Linked DNA regions of Caenorhabditis elegans. The protein of the gene in region 2 purifies or fractionates together with the protein of the main gene of each other region. This does not show direct contact. Each region holds a gene or a part of one and is shown on either strand. Other genes may lie near its edges.

Region 1 (8,290 bases), on a different chromosome or scaffold from region 2:
TCTGTTCAACGACATCAATTCGGTGCCTGGAACCGGCGCTGATTTGGAAGAAATTCACTACATTGTTCCCCGCGTCGAGGAGAAGCTCATCTTTGGAAAGAAGGAGCAAACCGGATTTTTCGCTGCCAAGACAAACCAAGGTGACCGAGTTCTTATTTCTTCCCAAAACGATGGTTTTTTTTTCAGCTATTGTGATTGCAATGTACGAGGGAGACAACGCTCAATCGGCTTCAGTCCGTGCCGGCGTCGAATACATTGCCCAGTACCTGGCCAGCTCTGGTTATTAGATACCTAAGGTAACAAAATACTTTTTGTTGGAATAGTTGATGAACCAATTACTATAAACAGTCTTATTTTCAGATTTGGAAGCAGTACGGTACCAGTTGCAACTCGATTCCCTTATGCTGCGCTATTCTCGTTTTTGTCTATGTGTGCGTGTTTCGCAATTCTTCATGTTCTATTCGGTCAAATTAATTAACAATTCATTGCTTGCTATATTTTACTCTCGTTCCTTACTATTTGCTCTCTCAAATTTTCTTTTATTAAAATATTCTTTTCACTCACTTCATTTTTCAATTTTCGAGGTTTCGGTAAGTCATTCCGAATTGATTCCAATTTCCCCACCCCCATCCCATTCATCCCATTCTTTTCTTAAGTGATTCTTTGAACACGGATTTTTCCTTTTTTTATTTTATAAATCGATTTTCGTTGACGATCAGCGCCTGATTCATACATTAATAAAACATGAGAGACGCATAAATGTAGAGAAAGAAAACTATGGAAAAATTGAAGTCAACTGCAAAGAATAACTGGATCCAAAAGAATGGATACTGGACTAACTTGAAGCTTTCGATAATCATAAGATTTTAGAGAAAATATCTCTCATAAAATTTTTTAATGTTTGACCCAGAAATATGGTACCTCCTGGTCTCGACAAGACTGCTCATTTTTGATGCAAAAAATTATGCTTTTCTTAAAAGGTACCGTATTTTTAGGTTTTGTTAATTTGAAGCTTATCGAAAAAGAAAGCAAAGTAGTGCACGTGAAGATTTATGAAGTGCGTTAAATTTAAAAAAGAATCAAGGAAAATTCGGCAAAGACAAGTTGAAAGTGTTACCAGGTTATACGACAATTGGATATTTTTTGGAAGTTTTTGCAGTTACTGGTTTCTGACATTTTTGGCTATTGGGAATTGCTAGCTCCTCGACATTTAAGCAATTGGCAATGTCGGCAAATGCTAGTTTCCTAATTTTTCAAGCACGCAAAAATTTTGATAATTTATGGTTTTTGAAATTCTCAGTAATTTGCCGTATTGGAATTTGCTGATTTTATTTGTGTTTTCTCGAGAAATGTTACACAAAATTTTCTTTGTATTTCATGACTACTAGAACTTATTCAAAACACTTTATAACATTAAAAAAAATGAAATTCTTATCAGAATTCTCTTTATTGAAAGAATTTTAATTATAAAACCAATTCTTGTTGATATTCAAAGCATAGGTCACACATAATACAACAAAAAAGACAAAGGCACACAGAGAAAATATTGAATATTAAAACACACAATAAACGGCAGAAAAGCTGAGAACGATGAAACGGATAAGTGAACTCCATATTATCAGTTGGAAAATCTGCCAAATTAAAAATTAGAAACGAATCAAAAAGTGAGAAAGATCTTAAAGCGATCAAATTAGTGACTGGTCGTGATGATGAGGGATGTGCAATAAAGATACAGTGAAATACAGTGTAATCAGAGTTGCCGCAATTTTGCAGCAAAACAACCATATGTTTGAGCATTTAACAAATAGGAGTAAAGTGGCAAACGGCAGATTGAATAAAGAGAATCAGAATTAAAACAGCTATAATTGAACCAATGATGATGCACACCTTCATTTTTCGAGCTCGTTTTTGCAAGTTTCGGGCTTCTTCCACATTTCCACGCGCTTGTTTAGCATATTCCGTGGCATTTTCTACACTGTTAACAATACTGTCCACCATCTCTCCCTGAAACAAAAACAAATGTTCAAAATGGTTACTTTATTGACAACTAGGTCGTTTTTAGATTGAGATTTTTTTAAAAATATAATTCAATATTTCCAAAGTTTAAAGCTGCAGTTTTGATATTGAAAACATATATTAAAAAATAATTTGGATTTTAAAAAGATTATTGGAAAGCAACAGTAAGATGCATTGAAAAATTCAAAAACAGTGAATGGGGATCATTTTTTGATCGATATAACAGGAATGCAGGTCCAGGTGGGAGAGCAAAATTAGACAAATTACGGAGTCGAAACATAGCTCCTCTCTTTATTGCGTTCCTGACAGAAATCACAATAGCGCTCCTATGAGAAAATTCGAAAATAATTGTGAAAGGTTGTCTAGATTTGCACTGAAAAATAATTTTAAAGAAAATTTTGCGTTTTGATTTCGGCATCGTATCTCGAACAATTTGTTGCATTTGTTTTTAACAAATTTAAAACTCCTAAAATGTAGAAACTTTAAAAAATTACAGTTGTAAAAACATATACAGAATGAAGCAAAAAAATTACCAAAATCAATAATATATGAATTGAAGCCGAATGATGTACCTCTCCCCGAAATGCATATGAATTTTATTCCTTTTCACGCGATCGCTTTTTATGTGGTTTTTTTCGGAAAAAAATAAAATAAATACTTGCCTGACTGACAACCATTATATGGAGATCGTGGAACATTTGTGCCAGTTCGCCCATCTGACGTTCCAAATTTTTCAGCTCATCCGCTCGGGATTTAACTTCATCATATAAGGCCTTTTTCTCGTTTAGCGCCAACATCACACCTTTTGTTACTTCAGAAAGGTTTCCAGAAGATACTGCATTTTCAATCTCTTCATCGCTGAGTTGCATGTTTCCTAAAAAAAAAATTTTGTTTACTTTGCGATTCTTGTAAAAAAAAATCTTCATAAACTGTATTTTTTTCAAATATAAGTTAATGTATTTTCCGAAATATTTTCAGTCATCAATATGATAAATATTTTTTTAGGTTTTCCATATTGTAAAATTGTACCAACTTTATTCTGAAAAAAATACAGCAGCTGACATTTTACGGGTCGATTTTTTACTACAATTTGTGAATCAATTTGAAAACTACGGGACTTTGCAATACAGTTTTATTATTTATTGAAACAACTGGGCATTGGTTTTTTTACTCGGAAAAAAAGTTTTTAAAACAGGGCGTCCGGTTCGAAAGTTTTATGAAAAGCAGTAAACTACTTACTAATTTTTAGGTAGTCCACAATTTTCCTCTTTGCCTTCTCTTTATATTCATCTTGTTCTCGATTAAAGTTCAACATGATATTTTCGAAAGTCTTGTAAATAGATTTCACTTGATCACTTTTCGCACGCATAATTCCGCACGCTGTAGTTGGTATTCTGCTGGTTTCCTCCGATAAAACTGAAAAAAAGTTTCTAATTCAGATACTCTAGATTCCAATCAATTACTTTTCAAACTATTTTTGATTTGTTCCGCTTTTGAGAAAAACATCTGGTTGTGACTTTTCAATTTGTTCGAGTTTTCTGAATCCGCACCAGGCGTGGACAGAAGTGCTCCGTGGAGTTGCACGACTGCGTCGTAGTCTTCCTCGAGACTTTTTAATCCTCCGCGAATATTTGAACATCTTTCTAAGAACTGAAAAATGAGTATAGTTTTGGGATGTTTGTTTTTAATTTATTTGTTGCTTTGTACTTGTATTTTGTACTTTTTTTTCAACTTTCTTTTATAAACGACTTCAATGAATTGAACAATTTCAAGTTCATTTGGCATTATTTTTTATGAAAATCGATGAAGTGATTAGTTCACTGCGTTTGAGCTTTTTGAGCCTATTCATCACTTTTCTGTGACATTTCTGTGTTTTGGATTAATTAGAATGAGCATTTTCGTAGTTTATGTACAAGTACTCAATCGAAGAAATTAAGCAATTCCAAAATAAAGTTTCATTATCACTTGCATCATCTATTACAGAACTCCATGTTTTGATGTTTTAAACTAGATTTTTTGTCTCAAAATGCCCAAACATTTAAGATTTTGTTTCAAAAAAGGCTGTAAACAAAACACTTACCATTTCAAAGTCAGCATCTTGATTTATTAAAGGTTGGGATTCCACGTCATATTTTCGTGCAGGTGGATCATAATTATATGCATGTATAGTGTTAACTGTTGCTTTTTCCTGAAAATTAGCTGTTCTTATTATGAAGATAACTTGTACCAACAAAATCCATTTGAGTACCCTCAGAACAGGGCTAAGTTTTTTTTTTTCGGAAGTTGAATTTGTTTCTCCAAAATAGACAACGACCAAAATTTTTTTTGACAAGAGCACAAAACAAGCAAAAACTAAAAATTGTGAAATTGGGAAAATTGTTGTTTATAAATTTGAAATTTTGCATATACTTACGCTCTAATTACAATTACGAGGGTCATTAAAATTGATAAATTTAAAAACGAACAATCGTCAGCCCTTTTCCAGATACATTTTTGAGATTCGTTATTTTACTGGTTCTTGTTCATAGCTAGCATGTTGAAAAACTTAACAGCAAAACACATGTTTGTTTTTGTTTTAATGTTTTGTGTATAATTAACATTAAAAACATGTTTTTACACCTTAAAACAAACCCATTTAATATATGACTCACTTGTAATTCCTTTAACCGATCCCTAGGCATTTCTGACTACGACGAATTCCTGAAATTTATTATATTAATTTTGATTTTTTTTCAGTAGAACAAGCAAAACCAAACAAAGAGGGGAGAAAAATTTCAAGTATTTTGCTGATAATATTTTTTTCTCATCTTTTGAATTATATTTTTCAAGAATGTTGTTATCATTTAAAAATAACTCGCGTAAAAACGATAAAAAGAATTATGAACTTTTCCTAGAAGCTTATAGTTTTTGGAGCAAATAGCAATGAGAAACTATGTTCGAAATTTTAAAAAATCAAATATCATCTGTGTGGGAGGGCTGAGGGAAAAAAGAGAAAAAATATATTGAGACCAACAACTGACAAGATGAGAAACAGACGACGATTTTTCGAGAAAGATTCCACTGTGAAACACATTTTCATCTTATTAAAACAAAAATCGTACTTTCGTCATACCTATGCCGCAAAAAAGATGGCAAATCGGAGAATTTAAAAGTGAGAGATAGAGAGGTTGCAGGTGCTTGACTCGGTCAATACAATATGGTTTTTAACAATTTGTCGGCTTGTTTGTTTTCAGCACTTTTTTCTTCGTCTCAACCAACTCATTTCGCATGCAGCACACAGCACAGAATATATGACATAAAGTGAATTAGAAATTGGAAATTTGGAAGAAAAACCCAGTTGTCTTCAAACAAAAAGTAAAAGTAAAAGTTTTGTTGGAATATTCCATCTTATTCCAATATATGTAACTTTTTTATTTGAGTAGGTAGCCAGTAACCAGAAGAGTAAAAAAGAGAAAAAGTTCACTAACCAAGAACTACAAAAGGGTATTTAAAGGGCACCATCAAATAGGAAAATAGCTACAACACAGAAAATGGAGAAGATTGTGGGCAATTTGAAGCGGCGAACATGCTCCGGACGCATGCACTAATTGTGCACAAACGCGATACAATAAATGAGATTTGAAATAGAAGGCCAGCATGAAACCAAAAAAAAGGGAAATTTTTGAGAGGGAGCAAGTAGACAAAAAGAGTGAAATGGGGTTGCAGAAAGGAATGAATTCATTGATGACCCATGGAAGCTCGCGATGGCGGGGGGTTTATGTCGTCTATTGTGGTTGTGTTGTTGTTGTTGCAATTTCGAGAAGTAGAATGACATCACATATCAGATGGCTCGTAATCAAATATATTTCTCGTACCACTTTTTTGGCTTTGCGTTGAATTTTTTCTGAAATAAATTTTGTGAATTTTTAAAATCCATATAAAAAATATAGGTAAAAAATAAAGGTTTTGCGCTCATCTGGAGCTCATCAGAAGCCCGTTGCGTTGGCCTCTAAAGCCAAAAATGTGTTTCAGGACACTCTATGAAATACCAACAGTTTTGACGTGTTACATTTTTGTTTAATCTTTATGAATTGGTCAAAATAGTGGACCTTCGTTGATTAGTTGATCAAAACAAAACAATTTAAAAGTCTAATGTTCCTCAACAAAAAAAACCATCTGATCATATGCTAATCACTTTTAAAATTATCTTTTCGTTTTCTGGTGGACTTTTAGAAAATACCTTTTGTTTCTAGAAAAGCACAAATTTTGAAAAATCCACATTTCACTGTTTTAGGTCAAAAACAAAACTTTCTGAAATTTTTAAAAATTGTCAATAAAACGAAGATTTTATTTCAAAATCATTTTGCTAAAATATTTGAATATCACAGTGAAACTTTTCAAAAACGTTCTGAAATTTTCTGATTTGAAGTGGTGGAAACACAATTTTCAGCTATCATAATTTTCAAATATGCCAAAACATCGTCTCTACGAGTTATATAGCTTAATTGCGTTTCAATTGTTGGTATTTAAATATGCTACTCGTTAAAGCATGCAGCAATGCTCAATCAAAAATTCTCGAAAAGTCCACGTTTTTGAAAAATTTGCCTATTTACCAAAACATTGACTTCTGTGAAGACCTAAAATCTTTGGAGGGTTGTTTCATATTAATGAATCAAGGTAGATAATTTATAAATGTACTCTAGATCGAAAAAGCAAAATTAAAAAATGCTTACCTCGTCGATAAATTGACACAGGCACATTTGCGTTTTACAGTGTTTTGGGGCGTAGTTGGAAACTCCATGAATTGGCTTGCTCGGGAATATTAGCCGTTTCTAAAAACAACTTCAAATTTAGACATTATCTTGCTCAATGTTACCTTCACAACACTTTTCACATATTCTTGACTATATTTCAAAATTAAGGATGCGGCTTCTCTTTCAATATTTTCATCGGTGACTTCTTCTGAATTACCGCCAAATATACATCCGCCAGTGCTTTTGATTTTCAATTGTTTGATAACATCGGCAGTACATTCTCCAACATTGAATCGGATGAAGTGGATCTGAAATGCGTTTTCTTAGTTAGTAACAATTGTCCTTAAGCATTTTTCAAATTTGCTTTGATCTCTTATCTTACCACAACTTTGTGGCAGCTCAATTGTCCGCGATCTTCCACTCCAGTCAGAAAGTGTCGATCAACAATTATCTTGTTTGCTTTCTCGACAACGTGGTTCAGTCCAATCCGTATCTGCAAGGCGAAAATGCATTGCCTCTTGCCCCCAAGTTTCACACAGAGCAGTGATGCTCTCTGCCCAACTTTTCATTGCCACATACCCTTCTTCTTATCATTGCACACGCGTACACTCCAACAAAAAGTAGCACCGCCCATACAAGGCACCAAATCATGACAGGCCATCCACCTTTTGATTGGAAAAGAAGAGTGATCGTTAGGGTTAGAATCCAGAATGTCATCCATATTGCGATCAGGCGGGAATATATCGTGGAAAACCTGGAAAAAATAACAATCACAAATTGTATATTTGGTATTTGTGTGTAGTAGCATTTTAATTATTTTTAAGGTTACTTAACTCAATTATTTTTTCGTTATCAACATTTAAAATAGCAAATATATACATTATTTTTTGTTCAAACCAAAACTGTGCGGAACGTTTTATTGGCACAGTGAAATATTTTAAAAATTCCCATTTTCTAAAGGTTATGTAGAATTTTTTGCTTGTAAAATTGTTTGGAATTATAATATTGTGCCAAACTGGGCATTTTAGCGGCACCCCTCTGATTTAGAAATTGTTTTCTTAATTTAATATAGCCAACGACTTCTACTAACAACTAACAAAAAGTTGAAAAAAAAACTATTCCTAAATATAAAGCAGATTTTTTTTATTCATCTATTTTCTGGAAATATTTGTGATATTTTAGAATTTAATTCAAAAACTCACATTTTAAACCGACTATCTTCAATAAGTGCCTTGATGGTTGCAATGTAGTCTTCTCCAGTTAACTTCAATTTTTTTTTGAAATTCAAGCTTAAAACTTGGAAAAATTACCGTTGGAACGTCAATTGCCAAAATGGACGGCATGCTGTAAGCGTCATAGTGTGGAGGTGTGAGCCAATCACAGATGACATTGTCGGGGTAAACCGTTGCCAAAACTTTTGCATTCACATTTTTTGGGTCCGAGATTGCACTGGATTTTGCGATTCTCGGAGTTCCTTCTTCCAGTTTTGACACGTCTGAAAGGACATTTTTAAGAGTACGTTTTTTTCTGCATAACTTTTA
Region 2 (6,940 bases):
AAAAGCTTCTAAACCACACAAATACTCAATTAACAAATTTGTTTCTAATCTTCTGATTCAGGAATACTACCTCCTGTGCCGCCGCCGTCCATCAACGACAACAAAACGTCGCAGGATGTCTGATGATTGTGCAAGTAACGAGCTGAATAGTTCAATAGTTGCTTGTACAGCATTTGTTCATGTATTCGAGACAATGGATGGACGTGTAACTGTCAGATATTGTCTTGATCATTGTGGACATCCAGTTGAAGTTGACGATCATCATAGAAGAGAAACTAAAAAGTTTGAAAATCGATTAACATTGAAGAGAAGCTCACCGTGTGCCACATATGAGCTGTGTGATGAGAGTTGTGATTGTGAGGTGAGGGATTTTTGAATTTATATTAAATAGAAAATTATTTTAGTTTATAATAAGCTACAGTAACAAATTATATTTTAAACATTGAAAAGTATCTATACTGAAATATTACCTGTTCACGAAAAAAGTTAGGTTATAGGGGTACGGTAGCTGACAAATCAAATTCAAAATCCTGCAATAAATTACTGTATTTTCGTTTATAACGTAAACATTCGAATATTTACAGCAATCATCTTCATCAATGGCTTCATCTCCATCATCATCAGTGGATTTCGAAGATGAAGATGCTTCAAATAATAACTACAAACTACAAGAATCAATTGATGCATATGCAGTTTCAAGTCTCAATGCAATAATTAATCAACGTCTTGATTCAACAGCTGATCGTCTCAAAACACTGACAAAAGTGCTCCAGGAGTTGGCTGTTGATATTCGGAATACCGATTGTCGGATGGTTATCTGAAGAAACTCAATTTGAAGGATTTTTCTTTTTTGTTTCATATACAAAGTATATTGTATATTGAGGCGCAGAAAAATGCGATGTTTGAAATCAAAGTGCAAGCACGTTCCACGGCTAAATAAACAACTCTCCGCCCCTAAACGTTGGGTCTCGTTAGGTAAAACCGTAATTCAAACTTTTTCAAGCAGTTATAGTTAAAAATGTATGTGAAATTAAACGTTTCAATCATTTTAATAATTTCATCAACATCGAATGTTTAAAAACGTTCAAATTTTCGGTTTTCCTAACGAGACCGAACTGTTGAGGGCGGAGCGTTTTCATTTGCCAATGGAGCGCAGTTGCACCTCGATTCAAAAGTTCTCATTTTCTACGCCTCCATAATATCACTTTTGTATTAAAACAAAGCAAATATTTCCATTTCATCCAATCTCCCAATATTTTTCTTCTCGCGTTCTCTGATCCTCTCTCATTCTAACCATTTCATTTTCCATTTCTTAAAATTCCCGGTGGTCTTAGCCAAAACTTTTTCCAGTTTTCTAGTCCATCTCAAAAATCTATACGTCACAAAAATACATTTCACAACTCAAAAAACAGTCGCCTCTTGCTTTTCTGAACGAATTCTCATAATGTAAATACATATTCTTCCTAATATTTATGAATGTCATAATATTTCCCCTCAAGACTGTTACTTAAAAATGAAGACAATTTCCATGGAATCAATATTCATGTACATATTCACAAGCGACATCCACACACAAAAGCATCCAGATTATACATTTAAAGTTAATATAGAAAGTTCAAAGGGGAATTCGAGGTTGGATCTATCACATTTTTCTTTTTTTTTTCTAATTTTTTTCACATCAATTTATGAACCAATTTTCTCAAAGAAAGAACATAAATGATAGAAACGTGTTAGATTCAAGTTCAGAGATTTAACTCTAAGTGGAGTGTTGGAACAAGAAATAAACTTTTAAATAAGGTAAGTTTAGGGGAATTGAAGTGTTTTTGTTGCACTAGAGGACGGTGAGCCGGAAGAAAAAAAAGTAAAAAATCAATCATTTCCACAAAGACGTGGCCTTCATCATGAGAGACATCTTTGTCGAAGTATCCATGCTTGGGGTCAGAGACTCGGCTGTAGTTTGGCTTGTTGATGCACCAGTTCCCAGAATCTTTTGCATCTGAAAATATGTCAGTTAGTTGAGTTAACTCTTAATATATTTATCGTGTATCTTGTTTATCCTTACTTGTTTATCCTGATCTCTAACAATTCCATCGTTACGTTCAGCTTTGTATTGAATACGATCGAGCATCTCATTTTGTGAATCGACCTCTTTTCCGAGATCGGCTCCAAGACGTTGCAAGTTCCGAAGATTGGCGGACATCATGTCAAGATTCTCATCAATTTGATTATCCATAGCTTCCCAACGTGTACCTTTAATTGCCGAACGACTAGATTCGGTCAAGGTTCGTTGTCCAGATGGTCCAGAGAATGTTGCGGATCCACCACCGCTGGAGAGGTTGGTAGCGGTTTCCGACAAACGGGATGCTGATTTGGATTGCGGGACCTATAAATATATCAATTTTATGACGTATTATGGTATATTCTCGGAAAATTATTAATTTTTATATCGAAAATAAAATGATTCCAGTAGTTCCAAATGTTATATTCTACTAAAATTATGTAAGATTTTGAACGCTTTCTTTATTCAAAAACAATGCTCCATTTTTTAATATTAGAAATTTATCAACTCTCCAAAAACTCAAAACTCGTGTTCTTTGAGACTACAGAAATCCTATAGTACTTTGTAGTTTCTGAATACAAAAATTCCAGTTTAAAAGTTAAACTCACAGTCGGAGTTTCCGTCGGCTCTTGCGGTTTCTTCGTGAATTTATTTTTGAACATTCCACCGAAAAACGACTTCAAACTATTCAAATTGCGTTGTGTCATTTGCGTGGTTCGATGAATCTCATCTAAATTCTTTTCAGTATTCTCAAGCTTCTCCCGTTGCTCAAGCAACTGCTGAGCAGTCGACGTTCCGATTTTCTCCGAATTTTCGAGATGACGACGAGATCTTTCCGTACTATCCAATGATTCCTGCAGAGTTTTCTCGATTTCACGCTCGTAGTAGTCTGCTTCGTCTTCTCCGGAATAATGTCCCATCGTAGTGTAACTTTTTACGGGCACTGAAACAGAGAAAAATCAATTTTCTAGAATTTTTCCGTACTAGATAATGCTTTTAAATTTTCTGATGGATTTGTAAAAAAATAGAATTAAAAACTCACTTGTAGAAGAAGCAGCACTCGGCCTGTAGTCATCATCGAATGGATTACGAGACATTGATGAAGTTTCTAGAAGTTCAAGTTTACGAAATGAACAGAATAAATAACTTTTTAGAATAGATACAAATGGCGGAAAAAGTAATATAACCGCGTGAAAAAAAAATGAACAGTGAAAATAAAATAGTATATGCAATATTTATAAAGAGACTGGAAACCAAAATGTGGTGGGGAAAAAACTCGAGGGGAAAATAATATACATGAGAAAACGCGGGAGAGGGGAAGAAATTAAAATTAGCACAGACACCAGTACATATAATATACGATTGACTATTTGAAAATGAAAATGTGTGTGGCAAAATTAAAACGTACAAGCATTTCTTCTATATTAACCTATTCAATTTCTCAATTTGTGAATTATGACAAACATGAGAAATGTTTATTCCAGTTGAGAATATTTGGTTGGAGTCAAAATTTTCGATTGCATCTTCTTGATGAGAGGCACTGAAAAAATAAATATTTGTTTCCGTTAAAAATAACAGAAAATCTGATTTTTAGGTTATTTTTTCGGTTTTTTGTTGCGAAAATTTCAAAATCCTATGGCATTTTGTTTGAAAATTAGGAAAAACAAGAAAAAATCGAAATTTTCTAGATTTTAGTGTGTAAAAAATAATCAAAAATCCGGTTTCCCGCGGGAAAGTCAGAAATTTCGGGTTTTTTCTAAAATTTGACAAAAAAGTTTGTTTAATTTTTCTCAATTTTTTGTTTTTCATTTGTATTATTCGAGAAGACAAATTTCAGACTAACCAGTATTCGCAACAGTTGCATCCCATCCTGGCTTTGCCCAAGTAGCATGTCTCGTATCGTTACGGCCTGACATTGATGGATAAGCCCAAATGTGATAGACAACATAGAGTTGTCCAACTTGAGCAAAGAATCCTCCAACATCTTGATTCGCCTCACGTCTGTATTGAATTCCTTTTGCCCATGCAGATGCCCAATCAATCATAGTTCCAGGTTGAAGAACATATGAACGAAGATCATAAACATGATTTGGTGGTCGTTGTTCTGGTTCTCTCCAATAGCTGAATGATTTTACTATGAGATTCTTGCGGCGACCACACAGTTTAGCAACGTCATTATCAGCTGCACGGATTCCAGAATCTTTTCCATGAAGAGAAATCGATGAATCAACATCTTCATAACCTTTGTTATGTCTCCACAGATGAATTGCCTGATCACGAGTTCTTCCATAAGCACATGTCCATGATCCAACAAGTTCAATTGATGGATTCTTTTGATTCATTTCGTTTTTATACTTTCCAAAAGCATCTAAATATGCATCCTGCTCTCCTGGGCGGTAGTTGTGAGCTGAAAAATATTGTTTTAAAAAGTTAAATATATGACACAAATAAGTATTTTATACAGTCTATTTTTTATTTTTCATCTATGACTTCAAAGGCGCATTAAGACATTTTTTAAAATCAATGGGTGGCGCGTGGTGAGACCATTTCGTATAAATGCGCGCGCCTTTGAAGTCGTAGAAGAAGAATAAAAAACACTGTAAAATAATAATAAAATTGTTATAAGTAAAATTAGTATTTAGAGCATTTTTCAAAAATTTAATGACAGAAAATGAATCGTAATGACCAAATATGTCATTTTTGAAAAATTCACACTTTTTCCAGATATAATACACGATTTTTTAAATTTTGCAAAAAAGTTTAATCGGGTAAATCGTTTTTGATTTCCCGAAAATCATTATAATTTTTTAAACAATTATTTTCGCTCATTACGGTTCATTTTCTATAATTTAAATTCTCAATTTTTTAAAAAACTTACTCATGAACTCGTACATGAGCTCTGAATTCGAGAGCAACGACGAATGTGACTGTTTCTGCCAACTCGATGGATCCATTGATTGTCCCTTGAGCAATCTACTGATCCATCCCTGCTTCTGCGGCTCACTATTTTCCGATTCATTCTGACACTGGATTGGTGTGGCAGATAGTTGTCTGAAAACTTACATTTATTTAAAGAGCTTTGACAAAAAAAATAATGCAAAAATCTAAAAAGGAACTAAAAAATAGGAAGAGCAACAAGAAAAAATCAAGATCTAGATATACCCTAGAGAGATAGATTCCTAAAAAAATTGGAAATATTTAAAGCCAAAATTAATCTCCAGTAGCGAAGCAGTGTGTGAATGTCGGAATTCGATCAAGTTGTCCTTTTTCCTTCGCATTATGAATATCGACAATTGTATGAACTCCAGTTGGCATCCAGACACTTGAAAACCTAAAATTTTGACAATAATGTCTAGTTCAAAGTTACTGAAAATAAAAAATAACCAAAAATAAGAATATTTTTGGATTATAATTTTAATTTCAAAACTTTAATAATCACCCATTAGCATTTCCGAACATGATATCCGTATCTAGACGATCACCAAACATCACAGTCCTTTTTGGATCCACATGAGCTCTTCGGAGCAAAAAGTCTGCCATCGGTTTATGTGGTTTTCCAAAAACTTTTGGATCTCTTCCAGTCACTGCAGTTACAGCAGCAGATGTTGCTCCAGATCCAGGAATTACAACACCTGGAACAGGACCTGGGAATGTGTAATCTTGATTTGTGACGAGATATTCTACACTCGGATCTTGTAGGTAATTGGATGCTTTCATGATTTTCGGATAGCTGAAGTGGGCATCATAACTGCAAACGACGGCTTTTGGAGCAATAGACATGTCAACTTTGTGAATGAAATCTCCATCAGTGTGATCGCGAATACTATCCGGTCCAGTTCCAAAGCATTTGACACCTCCGTCATTCTCAAGTGTTGCTTTCAGATTTTCCGTACCAATAAGGTAAACATATTCGCCCGAGAACTTATCCGCGTTACTTTTCAAATAATCTGCCAAAACGATAGCTGGACTAATAACATTATTCCTGCCGAGATGTCCAAATCCGAGCTTCTCAATCTTCTTCATATATTGTTCCAACGTCTTTGTAGAATTGTTCGTTAAAACAAAGACCTTCTTTGACGGATCCTCAAGAAGAAGATTGATCCATTCAATTGCTCCTGGCACTGGAATATCACCGGTCCACAAAACTCCGTCAGCGTCGAATAAAAATGTGTCATAATTGGCTAAGAGCTCATTTTTTGAGATCCTGTTTATACTCATCTGAATATAAAAATATTTGAGTAATAAGGAATATCAAGGGATATAGAAACTAAGAAAAAATTGAAAAAGGAAAGAAAAGGAAAATTCAATTTAGAAATACAACTAAATTTAAGCGATAAAGTATTGAAATAAAATCAGGTTTTTAAACCTTTGAAGGCACTGAAAATCAATATTGAACGAATATTTTATTGTGATGAAAAAATATCGATAAAAATCAAGAGAAGCGGCATTTTCATAAAATGAAATAGAGTGAGACTGTGAAAAAGTGATTGATAACGGTCTGGTCGACAGATGAAATCTCCAGGAAAAAGTGAAAAGAATTGATGGGAGATTGCGAAATTTTCAGGTGAATCATGCCATATTTCTATGAAATCTTGGAAGAGTCAAAACTGAAAATTGAACGAAATGGAATGGATACGAGAGATCCAAAGAACTCATACTATAAGTTCAGTTGGTCTTAAAGTTCATATTCTCATTAATTCTTCGTTTTCTTTCTCAAAACGGCATGACTGAAACGTGTCGCAGTGAGAAGAAAGAACAGAGAATGAGAATGAGAATGAGAGAGCGAGAGAATGAGAATGAGAGAGCGAGAGAGAAGAGAGAGAGAGAGAGAGACATTCGATGGAATTATTCGAAAAAGCTCGACCACTAGTACTGCATTGA
Region 3 (8,117 bases), on a different chromosome or scaffold from region 2:
ACCTGAAATCATTATCCAATAAAGATTGAAAATCTGGTAAATCGACACATGACGTCTCTGGCGCCAAAATTCGGCGTTTGAAAAGTCTCATTTAGGCGCAATTGAAAATCACGCTTTCAAGCTGAAATATAAAATCAGGGAAATTTTTTTGGAATTGTTCATTCAAATATTCGGAATCAGCGGAAATTTGAAGTAATTTAAAAATATTTTTGAGATTTCGGTACTGCACCTTTAAATTCATAAAAAAAATTAACTATAAGAATTGAATTTCCCAACAAAAAAAATTCACCGTTGTTTTTTTCAGCGAGCAACTTCTTCGAGTAAACCTCACCGTAGTCACAGAGGATCCTCCATTGACACTTTTAAATCATGTCTGCCAACTACTTGTTTCTACTGGAAATCGCCGACCACAGACCAGAGCCGGACTCCTGATGCTCCTGGGAACGTGGCTTCAAAATTGCCCAGCCGCAGTTTCCGATTTTATGGCTAAAGACGAGCATATACAGTATTTGACAACTAATTTAGGTGGGAACGGTTATTCAATTTTAAATAATTTTCAAAAGTTTAAGTGGATGAATGTGGTGAAGGATCGGAGAGTGAGCAGCAGGTTCTACGAGGACTCATGGCTTTTGTTCTACTATCGTGCTTGAAGAATTTACAAAGTAAGGAAGCACGATCATCGATGGAAATATTGATTCAAAGACGTGTTGGAAAGGAATTGATTCTGTCCGCATTGGAGGGACTTTCAAGAACCGAGCAATTTGTTAGAGCAGCACAAAAGCAGCAGCCGACAAATGAGCTTTTCCTCGATTTCCACTTTGTTAAACTTTTCAAATCTCTCGAAGGAACGTTGGCTAAGCAATTGAAACCGAATGGAGAATTTAATGGAACTAGCAATGATAGCATCATTCAATCATATAAAGAACTCATAAAACGGCAAGATGGTGATATTGCCCAATTGAAGCAAGACAATAAGCGAATGAGTCTTGAGATTGAGAAATTAAATGCAGAAGTTCAGAATAAGCAAATGGAACGAGAAGTTGAGAATCTTCGTGTGAGATTAGAAGAATCTGAAGCATTTAAAACTCAAAATGAAGTGCTGAATAGTCAGCTAGTAGAGTCACAGAGACTCACACAACAATGGTATGCAGAAGCCGAACGATACAAGCAATGGGCTCAACAATGGCAAGCCTATCAGTTGGCACAGCTTCCGAATGGTGTAGAGACGGGATTGGCTCAGCTTCAGCAACAAGTCAACGAGTTGGAGCAGCAACTCGGATTTGGATATCAGGCATTCGAACAGCAATCACAAACGGTATGGTAGACAGGAGATTTTATCAGAAAATCGAAAAATCGAAAATTTTCGTTTTTTCGAAAAAAAAATTTGTCGATTTTTCAAAAATTAGCTTAAAATTTTGGTCAGGGTTCTTCTTTTTTTGATGAAAATATTTATTTTTTTTCTCATCAATAAAACAAAAATTTGATTTTGTAAAATCATATTTTGTGGTTAATTTTCGGAAATTTTTTTCGATTTTCCGGAAAATCGAAAAATCGAAAAATGACACAATTGGATCAAAAAACTAAACATTTAAATCTGCGAAAATCAAAAAAAACCAAAAAACAATTCGATGCTTAAATTTATTCGAAAAATTTTTTTTCGGCTTCCGTTTGGTCTAAAATAAAAAAAATAACCAAAAAAAAATAAAATAACCATAAAAATAAAATTTACATATTTCAGATGCTCCACTATACATCAGAGAATGCAAATCTTAAAGATAGACTCGCGAAAACGGAAGCTGCTCTCGCTGAAGCCAATTATAAAATTGAGCAATTGAATTTGAAGCCAATTTCGAATGGAATAGTTGTGGAGCACGAACCACAGGTAGAATTCGAGTGGAATTTTCGAAATTTCAGGAATTTCTAGAAAAAACACTGAAAAAGTATAATTTTATTGGAAAAGATGGAAAATCTTACCAAAATTATCGATTTTTTCATTAAAAAATCGAAAAAATGTGTAAAATTTCAGTTTTTCGAAACCTTGATTTTTTAACAGATTTCTTTTTTTTAAGAAGGAAAAAATATATATATATATAAAAATAGTTATATATTTGAGGTTAATTTGAGCAAAACTTGATAAAATTTCAATTTTTTTTTTGAAAAAAGCTGAAAAAATAATAAAAAATTCTAAAAATATCAAACACTTAAAATATAATTTTTCTATGAAAAAATTAATTATTTCGTTTTTCAAAAAACTACTTTTAAATTTTGGTTCGATTTTTTCTGAAGAAATTATTTTTTGCTACAGATTTTTCATCCACTTTTTCATTTTTTTTTCAATTTTCTCTGGAAAAAAACTAAAATAAAAACGTTTCGATGAGTAGCTTTTGAGCTTTATCTCAGTGAAAATAATTCAAACATTTCAAATTTTCAGGCTGACTCCGAAGAGTTTTCAAAACTGAAACAAGAACAAGAAGAACTTCTGATGCTTCTCGCTGATCAACACAATAAAATGTCAGCCTACCGACGCCTTCTTCGAAACCTAAAACAGCCAGTGACAGATGATGAGGACGAGTAATAAGGCTGTGGGATTACTAAAAATCGGGTTTCTTTTTTGTTTTCTTTGGGGGGTCAATCTTGTCATAGAACATGTAATACTTCCAATCAACTTTTCTTTTTTTAAATCGAATAGGTTTCCTGTATAATATTTAATTTATAACGCATACACCGTACTTTCGCAGGATTTTTTAAGTGTCTTCTTAAAGGCGCACAGGTTTTTTTCAGATATGTTTCGGCTTTCTTGTTTTTTTTTCTCAAACTGATTTAAAACAATTTTTAACTTATGTGATAAATGCAAAGAAAATAAACAAAATTAAATACCATAAAAATTTTTTTGGGCTCGCCGAGACCCATAAAACCGTGCGCCTTTAAGAAGACATCTCAGAGATCTTGTAAATCTACGATATCGTATTCGCCGTGATTTTGCTGGCAAAATATTTTCTTCCTGTTTTTTTTGTATCCCTACCTACTCTTTCCATTTCGTTCAAACCACACTGTCTTCTGTGATACCGAAATTATGTTTTTTTTTTCCTTTCAATTTTATTTATGTAAAACTTAATAGTAAATATGGTCCAAATAAATTATTGATTGATTCCGAAATCCATCATTCTCTCTCTCAGGTTGAATGGGGATTCGGTGAATGATCAAATGATATAACGAACCCGTCTATTCTCCATATCAATAGTGATTCGGAAGCCGGTTCGTTCCTCTCGCCTGCTTCTCCTGGCCCGCGCATCTGCCATTGTTCTTCGCCTGTACACACCCTTTTTGCCTCTCGAAAATAATGATCTGGAAGAAATTTGCACTTTTGCTCATTTTTCTACCATCTCTAGAAGCATGTCATGCTCAATTTCAAAAAGAGCTTCGATATTTAGACTTGTATCTTGGTATTAGGCCAGATAATAATGGAGAGATTCCTGTGGAAGGTTGGTTTTTTGGTTTTTTGAAGGAATTTACTGTTTTTTGCTCCGAACGAAAAAAGTCTAAATTTTCGATTTTTTGGAAAAATTCAATTTTTTTTCAATAATTTATGGCCACATCCCGATTTTTTAAAAATGTTTTTTTCAACATTTTCCAGTTTTTTTTGGATTTACTCTGAATTTTGACGAGATTTTTTTTTCCAAAAATTTAAGCTTTATCGGAAATTTACTTGATTTTGTAGTTCCTTATTAAAGGCGCACGGAATTAAAAGTTCGCGGTAGTTTAATTTTTATTTAAACTTTGAAAACTGATTGTCAACGATTTATTACAGCTGAAAACCATGTGATTTCATTGAAAAAAAATACAATACTACATCCAATGAACAAATAAAACTACCATAAACTTTTTTGCGCGCCGAGGCCCGTCTGAATAATTCCGTGAGCTTTTAATGAAGTACTTCAAAATCTACAGTAGTACAGTAGTAGTAAAATTACGGTATTTTATCCAGATTTCGCTAATATTTCGCTAATTTCTGTAACAAAAGTATGTAACAACAATAAATCAGCCGATTTTTACTTTCATAAAAAATCTGGTTTTAGATTCGTTCTTAAAAATTAGTGATAAATAAGCAATTTTAATGTGAAGTGTTTTTTTGTTTTTAAACAGCTAAAATTATCAAACCACGAGGATCTGCAAAAAAAAACCACAATCACGTGGATTTCAGAGGCCGTTGGATTTGCCACGTATATTGAGTCACCTGATGAACTCAACTGTGACTTTGAGACCGAATGTCTTTGGAGAAATGCGCCGACTGATAAGCTTTTGGATACCAGTGATTGGTGGTATTTTAAGGTTTGTTATTCATGAAAAACTTTCCTTCAAATGTCTTGTGCCATTCTATTCTTTTTTTGGAATATAAAACCTTTTCTGAGTGGGTCTTGTCACGATCTCAGTTATAGATTTCGCTGAATACAAACTTTGAATGTGGTATAATTGTTCAATTAGAAATAAAAATGTATGTGAAATTCCATATCCTACGCTATATGTAGGCCAGGGTATAATATACAATATTTAGCTTTCAGTTTTGAGACGAATAATATGTAAAAGATACCAACTAATTTTGGCAACTAATTGGTTTTATGAACTAGTTTTAACTGAAAGTTTCAAAAAAAAAACATTTCAAAAACTCGATTGAAAGTGGCAACATTTCGAGAATTTATTCAGACAATTCAATTATACAGTTCAACTTTAGAACCATTGGAAAGTTCACCAAAAATTATAGAAAAAATTTGGAACGCTTCACGAATTTGCGTGTCATCCTTGCGCAGGGGCCATGCTAATCTTCTCTGTATTGTTCCAATTTTAGTATATGTTCTCGGAAGAACGAACAGTTAGATTTACATTTCAATTATATAGGGACCATTTACACAGCAGCTGACATATTTGGAGTTATGTAAGACACTATGACTATGCTAGGGAAGTGGAGATGCAAATCGATATTGGTATCGCTATAGAATAGGTGCACAAATTATTGATCTACATCTACATTTGGTATAGTGTCTTACATAACTCCAAATATGCCAGCTGCATTGTTAATGGTCCCTATATAATTGAAATGTAAATCTAAATGTTTGTTCTTCCGAGAACATATACTAAAATTGGAACAATACAGAGAAGATTAGCATGGCCCCTGCGCAAGGATGACACGCAAATTCGTGAAGCGTTCCAAATTTTTTGACGATTTTGTTAGACAAATCTATAAATTCTATACTTACAATTTTTCAAAACTTTTTTAAAAAATTAAACAATTTCAGAAAAATGACGAGAAAACTTTCCCAGTTCAAATCCAGCCCGGAAATCCTGTAATTCCAAAAGGCGAACATTTTATAATTGCTGGAAATACGACGAAAAATCCGAATGGAGCAGTGTTGAGCAGTGCTCCAATTGCTTGTCAAAAAGGATTTGCCAACTTGACTTTCAGGTATTGTCAAAGATAATTTTAAGAATTTTAAGCACAAAGTTGGAGGGCCTAAATTTTTTTTGAAATAAAATGTGTTTGCTCTTCTTTGAAAGCTTAGATCTCTACTGTCTTTGCATTTTTTTTAATATGTAAAAAACGAACTAAGCGTTCTTCTATGATTCAATAGTTTGAAAAATGCTGATATAAAAAAAAAAAATCGAAATTTTTAGTAATCTTTATATGACGCACAATTTCTCGTTTTTACTACAAAAATATTGCTATTTAATATTTTCATATTAGATTTGAGTTGCCTGAGTAAAAGCTCACAAAGTATGCGATCGGCAAAATACTGTGCTCTAACTAACATAGATTCCAAAATAAAATTATAATCCCAGTTATATCCTTCTAGCTTCTGGCTATACAACAATGCTCAAGTGGAAGTTATCATCCTTCGAGCAATGAATCGTAGACGTCATCTTCAAGTCTTGCTCAGACCAAAAATGAAGTGTGATTTCTTGGGAGCCGCCAATGAGGAATGTCGTGTCGAGATTCCGCCGATTAAGGAACCGTTCAGAATTGGAATTCGAGCATTTGATCTCAAAGATAATACTGTTGGAAGTTTGGCAATCATTGATCATATCAGATATCACGGAAAGATTTGCCAGCAATCACGTAAGTTTTAAAGTTATTCGAGATATGAAGCAGTCAAAATCAAATTGGCGCGCAAAAAAAACGATATTTTTAATCCTTTTTTAAAAGATTTTGTTCTGTAAATTTTTCAAAATAAAACTAGATTTGTTAGAGAAGTTTTAAACTTTCACTGAACATCCAGAAAAATCCAATGCCTCACTCTTCATAATCTAACAAAATATCTCAATCACTCCCATTTTACCTAAAATTAATTATTCCAGCATTCCCATCATCATTCTCATCTCTTCGTATTCCTCCATATGATAATAGTCCACTTCAAAGAATGTCTGATTTGAGTTGTGAACGCCCGCTACGATCCTGTCGATGGGGAAATATGGCCAAATCTCAATTAAGTGAATGGAGAGTTGGTAGATCAATTGATCGATGGGTTGATATGTTTGAGGTTTGTTTTAATTAAATCTTGGAAATAAGATAATTTTTTAAACAACATTTTGAAGCATTGATATCTTCAAGCGAAATATGGGATCGAACCACTAAAGTTAATTACCGTATTTCCTCTATTATGGGGTTATTCAAGTAGTGTCGGAAAATTAAAAAGTGTAGAAAAATTACGTCACACATGTATTCAAGTAAATAAAAACATGTATTTAAATACATTTGTGACGTCACAAATGTATTTAAATACATTTCGCTACATTACTTGAATAACCCCATTAGTACTTCACCCCATTGTTCAACTTTCACAGCTTATATCTCAGTCATCGTTTGTCCTATTAAAAAATTGTCAACTAACAAAATATTTTTTAACTTTATTTCTATCATTTCGTAGTTAATAATACATTGATATCTTCAAAATGAACCGAGTTCAAAGTTAAGTAGTGGGGTGCAATACTAATAGAGGGAATACGGTAAAAACAAATTTTCGTCAGTATGTCAATAATTTAAAACCCATCCAAAGTGCAGAAAAGTGATGAAAAATGAGTTGTATGAAGCATTAGACAGGTATTCATCTCTATGAAGTGGCCTTTTTAACTGTTTGTTAAAAAATAATTGGGCAATCCACACGTTTTGAAAATTTCAACAGCTGAATACTCTCGGCCGACAAACTTTCTTCATACGTTCTTGGAATATTTCCAAAACTTCTACTAATAAAACTTTTGACTTCTTCTATTTAAATGTTTTGCAACAATATAGGCTTATTTGGCAGCTTCAGAAGTTTCAATCCGGAGACTTGCCAAAGTTGGCTGAAACAATGAACTCAAAAAATTTGGAATTTTGAAATTAAGAAGGATTATAAAAATTGTTCTATGTATAAATACACCTTTTCTTGAAACTTAATAATGGGGTTATTCAAGTAGTGTCGGAAAATTAAAAAGTGTAGAAAAATTACACGTCACAACCTTATTCAAGTATATAAAAACATGTATTTAAATACATTTTGCTACATTACTTGAATAACCCCATAAGTTGATGATAAAAATGGGCATCAAACAGGGATATCTAGTAAAATCGTCAAAAAATTTGGAACGCTTCACGAATTTGCGTGTCATCCTTGCGCAGGGGCCATGCTAATCTTCTCTGTATTGTTCCAATTTTAGTATATGTTCTCGGAAGAACAAACATCTAGATTTACATTTCAATTATATAGGGACCATTTACACAGCAGCTGACATATTTGGAGTTATGTAAGACACTATGACTATGCTAGGGAAGTGGAGATGCAAATCGATATTGGTATCGCTATAGCATAGGTGCACAAATTATTGATCTACGTCTCCATTTGGTATAGTGTCTTACAGGACTCTCAATATGTCAGCTGCATGGTAAATGGTCCCTATATAATTGAAATGTAAATCTAAATGTTTGTTCTTCCGAGAACATATACTAAAATTGGAACAATACAGAGAAGATTAGCATGGCCCCTGCGCAAGGATGACACGCAAATTCGTGAAGCGTTCCAAATTTTTTCAATAATATTTCATAAATCTAGCTGAACATATACATTGCTTCTTTCAGATAACAGCCAACC
Region 4 (7,844 bases), on a different chromosome or scaffold from region 2:
CAATGGCCCCAACTGTGTTTTCAAAAAAATTAGCCAACGTATACCTCATTTTTTGAAGAAAAAAATTCCAGCCTGAGCTTTAAGACATTCGTTTTGGCTCAAAAATTTTTTTGGCTCGCAACGTTATTAACTGCCATAATTTAGTGTGTAAAGCAGTTTCGAACAAAAAATTTGCAAAAAAAAAATCAAGAAATTTTTGGACTGTTTGCTATATCAGTAGATCCACAATAAATCTCGGCAATATATTCTAAATACAGTATTACAGATTTTATTTGAAAAATGGTGAATGCAGTTCGGTTCCGACTCTACAACGATGAGTTGCAGAAAATCTGCCCCAGACCAGTGCTCAATTTGGCAGTCAGAAATCGGAGTTTTCAAAATGTTTATAAGTAGGTGAAAATATTATAACTCAACTTGAAAATGTTTAAAACTACATGAAAAGTTAATGAAAAATAAATTTAAAATATTAGTTTTTTGTTAGAAGTATTGAGAATAACCGAAATACAAGATATCATACCATTGATTGAAAACTGGAAAAAAAAACGTGAATACACAATAATTTTTGACATCAGAACCATTTTTGGAAACTTTTGATCTACAAAATTTTTTTCATATGGATTTGATCTACACATTTTTGTGCGGCAGAAATCGTTTTTTTGTGAGTAAAATAACAGAAAAAGAAGGACAGAGGGTCTTTTAACAATTTTTTGCTTCTTTTTTCAATTTTTTTGCATATTTTCAAAACCTGATACCCACAATTTTCTAAAAATTCTTTCGAATTTCAGCCATGAACAGACTACTTCGTCTTCAAATCATGATCCCGGAGTTGTTCCTGTATAATGAGGTAACAGCTTATAAGTTTAATGTGTTATCTAAAATTTAAAAGAATCAAAAAACTGAAAATTTAGAAATAGACACACGTTTTTTCAGACTCACCAAGGCCTCAACAATCAAAACGTACATGCTGTTGGAGCCTATTTCGACCAACATGATCCCGAAGGACTACAACAAGTTGTCCCGCTTCTCAACGAGGCTGCTGCCAACCAAGACGTTGTGGTAATTCATTGAATTTTAATAAATTTTCCGTTTGAAAAACCTTGCACGCCCTGATTTCAAAAACTCTTTTGATTTTCAAAAAAGTGATAGAGTTATGTGTGATTTTACTTAAAACCTTTCATTTCTTATCAATTCAATACAAACTATTGTTTTTTCAAAATCGTCACGGCCTCAACAACCAAAATTTTTGGTCCACTTCCAATTTTATTCCAAGAAAAAACCCTTAAAGTTGAGTTGGTATCACTTCAAACTTTAATCTAATTTGAAAGTTGCGGGAATATAATCCATAAGTATTGGTTTTTCTTTGTTCGAAACATCGTTTTTTTTCTTTTTCTGAGTTTTCACTATGCTACAAAAAACGGAAAATGGCTGGAATTAGATGTTTTCAATAAGAACAAAAAACGATGTTAATATTTAGAAAAAATAACTTTATAAGCAGTATAAATTTACTTTACCGTATTTCCTTTATTAGTCTTGCAGTCTCTATTAGTCTTTCACCCCTACGGACCAATCGAAAATTAGCCTTGAAGTCTTTATTGGTATTGCAGCTTCTATTAGTCTTGCACCCCTCTTTCTGACAGACCAGCAATATTTTGTGGAACCTTAAACAAATTTGTCATTTTTCGGCTGAATTAAATTTTAAGGTGTTCAAGCAATTGATAAAATAATAAAAAAAAGTATGTATTTTGTGTGATAGACTGTTTCAAGTCAAGTTTTTGACGAGAAATTGTCAATTTAAAAAGTTGTTGGATTATCGAACGTTAGTCTTGCAGCTCCTGATAGTCTTGCAGTCTTTATTAGTCTTGCACAATTAGTCTTGCATGCAAGACTAATAGAGAAAATACGGTATTTTAAATATAATAAGCATTTCTTTCAGGTCATTGATTCAATGGCATCGTTAGTCGACCTGTACACCATGGACTCCCGCGGGCTCCACGAAAGTATGTTTTTTTTTCTAATTGATCTGAAAAAAAATTGATGTTGTATTCTTACGATAAATTTTATTTCGTTTTCTAAAACTCACTCATAAGTGAGTAAAAATCGATAGAAGTTATAAGATAGCGAAAATCCGAGCTTCAATCAATTTTTTTTTTCAGTTTGCGACTTGGCTACACCTTTCTTCCAACTTCTTGCCCATCCACGCATTTCGATGGAGGTCAAGTTATTGATTAACAGACTCAAAGGAGTATTATTGACTCGTGATGCAGCGATTCTTCAGTTGATAATTCAGGTTTACGAGAATATTGCCGAGGTGAGCTTACATAGCCATTCTTTCTCGAACCGTCTAATTTTCAGGGCGATCAAGAGGCTGAGGAAGCCGACGAGCGAGTGAAAGCGTTGCTGGCTGAACGCTTCGGGAATGACATTTAATTAACAAAAATTTGCAAATACTATTATTTTACTTCTTTTGGAATGTACTGTAAATTTATCTGGATTATTTTAACGATAAACAACATCTCACTATGTAAACCAAGTGATTACAAAAAATTAGAAACTTAAAGTTGCCATTGAACCAGTCCAAATGACTTGGGTTTGACCAAAATTGATATCAGTCGTCCATTACTTGAGATATCAAGCCATTCTTCACAATTGATAATTTTTTCGAGAGTTTCTCTGAAAAAAAACGAGTCTACAGATTAGTTCCCCAACAAATCACCCACTCGTTGCAATAATCTATGGGTCGTGTGGCAGGATCCCATGGTTTTGCATTAACTTCTTGATAAATGTTTTCCACGTTCAATTGGTAGCCGGGAGCTAAAGAAAAGGTCATTGTTTGGATGTTTTGAAAATTTATGTCCGTTGTCCATTGGTGCAACCAGTGCATAACTTGTTCAGACGAAATAAATGCATTTTTGGCGCTTAAATGACGCCCCTTGAATCGAGGGATTACACTGTCAGCCATTAAACATGAACTACCAAGAAACAATCTCTTGATTGAGAACAAACCACATTCATCTTTAAGTTCACCATCTATCTGTGGATACAACGACAAACTGCCTAAGTTCGGCCATGTCGAAAAGATTTGATCTAGAAAGGTGATTGGGATTGTATCTAGCTTAACCATTTCACTTAGAATAATGTGGTTGACATTTCGAATATTTGAGAAATGGTGAATCTTTTGTTGACTCATTCCTTGCTTCCAAAAAAATATTATATTTGATTTGAGATGTGTTTGGTGGAGGTTCAAAATCGTGTTTCGAAGCATTTCGTGAACTACTTTTAAGGTTGATCCATTGAAATAAAATTTGATTATACTGCTGGCTTCATGGCACGGAGTTGCGCTGAAATGCAAAATTAAAATTATTTACTGTGCTGGCCACAAACGGGGCTTCGTGAATTTTGGACTGTGTTAAATTAACCATAACTTAAAAGCTAATCATTATTTTCGAAAACGGTCAACTAACAAAACGTTGGTCATTATGTTGTTGACATTGCCTGACCGATATTATTTTACAAAAACTGCCCTGAAAAACGGTACAGCGACAGACATCTGGCTGGTCGATTTTTGACCTCGAATCTGAAATCGTCTGTAACTCAAGAAAAAATCGCTTCCATGAGAATAATTGAATTAATAACATGATCTTCATAAACATTTATGCCCTATGCATATAATAACTTTGTCCTCAACCCGCCGGGAAGTGAATGATATACAACTAAGCCTATATATTCCAAACTGTTGTGGATCATATTTCATAAAAATGATAGGACTTTTCAGAGTATTGTTTTCAGGCGTGAAACGACCTACATAACTATGATAAATTATTGATTCTTCAAAAAAACAAATGAATAATCAAAAGCAATCATTATTTTCGAAAACCGGCAACTAACACAATGTTGGCCATTATGTTGTTGACATTTCCTGACCAATATTATTTTACAAAAACTGCCTTGCAAAACATTACAGCGGCAAACATATGGCGGGTCGGTTTTTAACCTTGAATCTGAAATTGTCTGTAACTCGATAAAAATTGCTTCCATGAAAATAATTGTATTAATGAAATAATTTTTACTAAAGATGGAAGCGATTTTTTCTTGAGCTACAGACGATTTCAGTCAAAAATCGACTAGCCAGATGTCTGTCGCTGTACTGTTTTACAAGGCAATTTTTGTAAAATAATACTTATCAGACAATTTGAACAACATAATGACCAGCATTTTGTTAGTTGACAGTTTTCGAAAACAACGTTTAGTTTTTCAATTATGGCCATTCAAACAAAGCCAAAAAAAAAAACGAAAAACCGTTTGTGCATATCTTTTTGGCCAGCATTGTATTTACAGTAAGACTTTTGTATTACATGTGTAATATGGACATATTGGATACCCTATACTTACAGTCTTTCGGTCAGAACTTTTCAAAGTACAGTTTTTGAAAATTTTGATTGAGCTCGGCTGCGCTTAAGAGAACTCAAAAACGCTGATAATCAGGCTAGTATATTTTCAAAACGTAAGGAACTGACCAGTAAACCATTGTTTGTCCAATTTTCAATTTAAACCACTTTTCTTGCTGAATAATGTCTTCTCTTGACGCTTCTCTAATTAAAAACGATAAGTGTTCACTTAAATTATTAATGTCCTTCATTTGCATGACGTAAGAACGTTCAACGGATAAATTCGAACACGAATGGATCATCGACGAGTATCCTTTTTTTATTGATTTTCTGGCCAACGTTTCAGTTTTGGAAGAGCAAAATGAAAAGTTAAGCACGTCGATGAAGCTCATTTCCTGAGGAATTTGCCTACGGATCACAAGTGGAAAGGTGAAGAGGTTGAAGGGCATTCTGAAAAAAAAAACTATATACATTATGTAATAAGAGGAAATGGTAAGCAGCAACTTATAGAGAAAAGAGAAAATTCAATACAAAAGTAATTGTTTTTTTTTGAAAAAAAAAATTGTGCATAGTGATAGCGATAGTGCAGGATTAATTATCAATAGAATTGTATAAGTGCCAGGCTCATAAAAAACAGCGATTGAAAATAAAGCCATTGAGTACAGAGCAAAACCGATTAAAGCCTCGATGTTTTATTCATCTTGATTTGAACTTCAACATTTTCGGGGAAAAAAACGATAAAGCACCATGAATATAACATTCATACAACATTTGGTGGTACCTAAAAACTTCAAAAATATGGAGCTGTGTGCTGGCCAACCGAGGGGTCAACCATGTGACGTATTGCGTCTTCCCACCGATGCAGTCTCCCGCTGGTCTATGGAATTGCGGGAGGCGTCAACTTGCAGGACCAATTTTTCGCTGAAAACGGTTAAAGGTGGAGTAGCGCCAGTGGGGGAATTGCTTTAAAACATGCCTATGGTACCACAATGACCAAATATCATAGTAAAAATTAAAAAAAAAATTTCTAAATTTTATATGATTTTTTGAAAATTGAAAAAATCTCGAATTGCATCAAATTCCTATTTGAATTACCGCCAATAGTTCGATGTTCGATGGAGCGCGCTTGCATTATTTTAAATTTAAAATTTCGAATCTAAATCTTTGAAATAGATTATTTCAGGCTCAACGTCGTTGAAAAACGTGATATCTCTGTTTTCAATTATTTTTAGTGAACAATCTACATTTATCTTGAATTTTTCGATAAATCTCCAGTAAAATTACTCAAAAAAAAACATGAAAAATCAATTAAAAATAAGAAAAATTAATAAATAAAAGTTAAAATAATGCAAGCGCGCTCCATCGAACATCGAACTATTGGCGGTAATTCAAATAGGAATTTGATCATTGTGGTACCATAGGCATGTTTTAAAGCAATTTCCCCACTGGCGCTACTCCACCTTTAACTAGCAACATGTATAGATTCTTCTTATGAAATCTAATTTGCAAAAATTAGAGCGGTCTGATGGACTAGATTTTCTGAGCACTTTTTTTTTACGAGTCTACTGTTCAACAGAGTGAAATTTAGAATTGAAAGCTTAATAACTGCCGAGAGTTTATAGGGCCCCAGGCCCTATAAACTCTGACTAGATCTTGCCTACCTGTTTTTTTAGACAAAACACCATCTGTCCTAAATAACCGTACCACCCTTTTGCTCAGCGAAATGACCCCAGCTGCAAATGCGCCCTAATTTCCAGCCAATATAAAATCGATATAATCTCAGTGGGGTCTTGCTGTGCCATTCTCGTCGTTACACCTGCACACTATGTTAAATTCAAAACCAGTAAGCTACCAAGTATTGAAGTTCATATTGAAGCATTTGGATCCAAGTTTGAGGTGAGTATTTTGGCTTGGAAAAGTTACGTATTTAGAGGGTTGAGTTTTGAGAATGACGGAGTTTTCGGAGTTGAAATTTTTGGGTATAGAGGAAATTCATCCAAATCACAGCTCACATTATGTTTCAAGCTTTTTGCTCAAGTGCCACACAATTTTTTAATACATAGCTAAACCTACCTAACTATAAGTATATTTCAGAATCCAACTCTGCCTCGTCTGCCCTTCAATTCATACCTTAGAAAAATCAACCCCTTCCTACATCCACTATCTCAAGATAACAGATAACAGCGTGACAGTTAACCGGGTAACCTGTCAAATTACAGTTACCGATAGAAAAGTTGATTATCAATTTGATATCAATCAATTCCCAAGTATCAGTGGTACAGTCGAACTAAGGAATAGTAGAAATAATCTGACCAAAACTATGAAGTACCTTCTCGACAAACTCTTTAAAGGAAGAACTGTGAAAGTGGGCCAACTTGCAATTTCTTGTGAAAATCCTCTACGGGTTCCGTTAGCTGCCAGGATCAATGTCAATGTTTTGGAGGTTTTTGATTCCCGGAGCTTGTCGGCTGCTAGTTCACTAATTGCAAACTCTTGTCTACCATTAAGCTTGATAAAACTCCCATTTAAAAGCCTTCTGAAGACTAATAACAATCCAATTACATCAATAGTAAACCGAAAAACTAAAAAATGGCACTTCAAAGCTCCAACCACAGCTCCACACAACCTCAGGCGGGTACTGACGTTCCTGCAAAATCGGAGAGTTACAACTGCACATTTCGAAAGGGGACACTTCTGCTTTTCAATTGTTATAGAATACTTTATGGGTGATAGTGATATAGAAAATGGAACTTATTATACATTTGACACAACTAGGGGAGCTGTATTTGTAGTTATGGAGAGGAGTAGGAAGAGGTATAAAGCGATGTTGGAAGATGGGTAAGTTAATCTAAGGTTGAATATTTTCAAAAAAAATCTAAAGTTGAATACTTTCAGATCTTCTCGACGTTCCAATCAGCTCACCATCAAGAAGAACAGCACCTCGAAATTGGTTATCAGCAAGATACAGCAGGGAGATGCATGGATTTTGGGTTTCAAAATTGAGCGGCGAAGACTTTTCCCTACTTTTTTTTGAGAACAACTAATCGTTGAAAAAATGAAAGAATTCCTATGAAACTGTTTTGTCTTGTGACTTGAGAACTATCGGATTTCTGTGTTTTTGGAAAAATATCACAGCGGCAGACATCTGGCAGGTCTGATATAGTTTTCGTTTAGAAAGATTCGTACTTTTTACAACTTTTCTAAAACCTCTCCATCCCAAAAAAGAAGATTTTGCAAGGGTCGAGCCACTTTCAGAAGATACTCGATCAAAAGCTTCTGCATGCCAGGTCAGGATAATTCTGAAGCTAGAGATCTGGTTCAGGGACACCTGATCAAGTTATTTGACCACGTCCAGCTGACCACCACTGTGCTGCTGCAAATCTGCTCTAATTGTCAACGGGTCGAAAGAATTACATTGGGGTTCTCTTGGTCATTCTAGCCTCTTACCAGTTGATCCTA

Evidence for each region.
Region 1: the proteins of snap-29 (region 2) and syx-3 purify together in Caenorhabditis elegans (affinity purification with western blotting, with the first as the bait; one study listed by BioGRID). This does not show direct contact.
Region 3: the proteins of snap-29 (region 2) and mam-3 fractionate together in Caenorhabditis elegans (co-fractionation; one large-scale study listed by BioGRID). This does not show direct contact.
Region 4: the proteins of snap-29 (region 2) and C32B5.15 fractionate together in Caenorhabditis elegans (co-fractionation; one large-scale study listed by BioGRID). This does not show direct contact.

The regions. Positions count from the first base shown.
Region 1 is NC_003284.9:5,345,524-5,353,813, reverse strand, and holds syx-3 (Putative syntaxin-3), read right to left. Parts: upstream 4,717-8,290; 5' UTR 4,698-4,716; coding exon 4,668-4,697; intron 4,205-4,667; coding exon 4,097-4,204; intron 3,667-4,096; coding exon 3,480-3,666; intron 3,433-3,479; coding exon 3,256-3,432; intron 2,891-3,255; coding exon 2,675-2,890; intron 2,001-2,674; coding exon 1,798-2,000; downstream 1-1,797. Other genes in the region: pfn-2 (Profilin-2), read left to right, coding at 1-140, 187-287; C26B9.1 (PH domain-containing protein), read right to left, coding at 5,852-5,899, 6,729-6,827, 6,872-7,057, 7,132-7,242, 7,329-7,503, 7,952-8,013, 8,060-8,244. UniProt on the Caenorhabditis elegans protein: Potentially involved in docking of synaptic vesicles at presynaptic active zones. Acts in the intestine to regulate anterior body muscle contractions (aBOC) and the expulsion steps during the defecation motor program (DMP).
Region 2 is NC_003281.10:8,772,482-8,779,421, reverse strand, and holds snap-29 (Soluble NSF attachment protein 29), read right to left. Parts: upstream 3,170-6,940; 5' UTR 3,157-3,169; coding exon 3,102-3,156; exon of another isoform or gene 3,046-3,101; intron 3,003-3,045; coding exon 2,668-3,002; intron 2,384-2,667; coding exon 2,063-2,383; intron 1,997-2,062; coding exon 1,874-1,996; 3' UTR 1,527-1,873; downstream 1-1,526. Other genes in the region: K02D10.4 (uncharacterized protein), read left to right, coding at 62-361, 585-821; Putative NipSnap protein K02D10.1, read right to left, coding at 3,535-3,599, 3,903-4,466, 4,938-5,110, 5,499-6,277. UniProt on the Caenorhabditis elegans protein: SNAREs, soluble N-ethylmaleimide-sensitive factor-attachment protein receptors, are essential proteins for fusion of cellular membranes.
Region 3 is NC_003282.8:13,440,490-13,448,606, reverse strand, and holds the start of mam-3 (MAM domain-containing protein), read left to right. Parts: upstream 1-3,231; 5' UTR 3,232-3,340; coding exon 3,341-3,482; intron 3,483-4,201; coding exon 4,202-4,329; intron 4,330-4,760; exon of another isoform or gene 4,761-4,862; intron 4,863-5,105; exon of another isoform or gene 5,106-5,223; intron 5,224-5,291; coding exon 5,292-5,458; intron 5,459-5,846; coding exon 5,847-6,109; intron 6,110-6,348; coding exon 6,349-6,530; intron 6,531-7,603; exon of another isoform or gene 7,604-7,705; intron 7,706-7,948; exon of another isoform or gene 7,949-8,061; intron 8,062-8,104; coding exon 8,105-8,117. Other genes in the region: uso-1 (Uso1_p115_head domain-containing protein), read left to right, coding at 305-525, 570-1,315, 1,739-1,882, 2,432-2,575.
Region 4 is NC_003280.10:968,093-975,936, forward strand, and holds C32B5.15 (F-box domain-containing protein), read right to left. Parts: upstream 4,859-7,844; coding exon 4,515-4,858; intron 3,339-4,514; coding exon 2,718-3,338; intron 2,671-2,717; coding exon 2,553-2,670; 3' UTR 2,451-2,552; downstream 1-2,450. Other genes in the region: C32B5.6 (Resolvase/invertase-type recombinase catalytic domain-containing protein), read left to right, coding at 314-389, 786-844, 931-1,056, 1,934-1,997, 2,154-2,308, 2,353-2,427; fbxc-14 (F-box domain-containing protein), read left to right, coding at 6,211-6,281, 6,480-7,223, 7,281-7,419.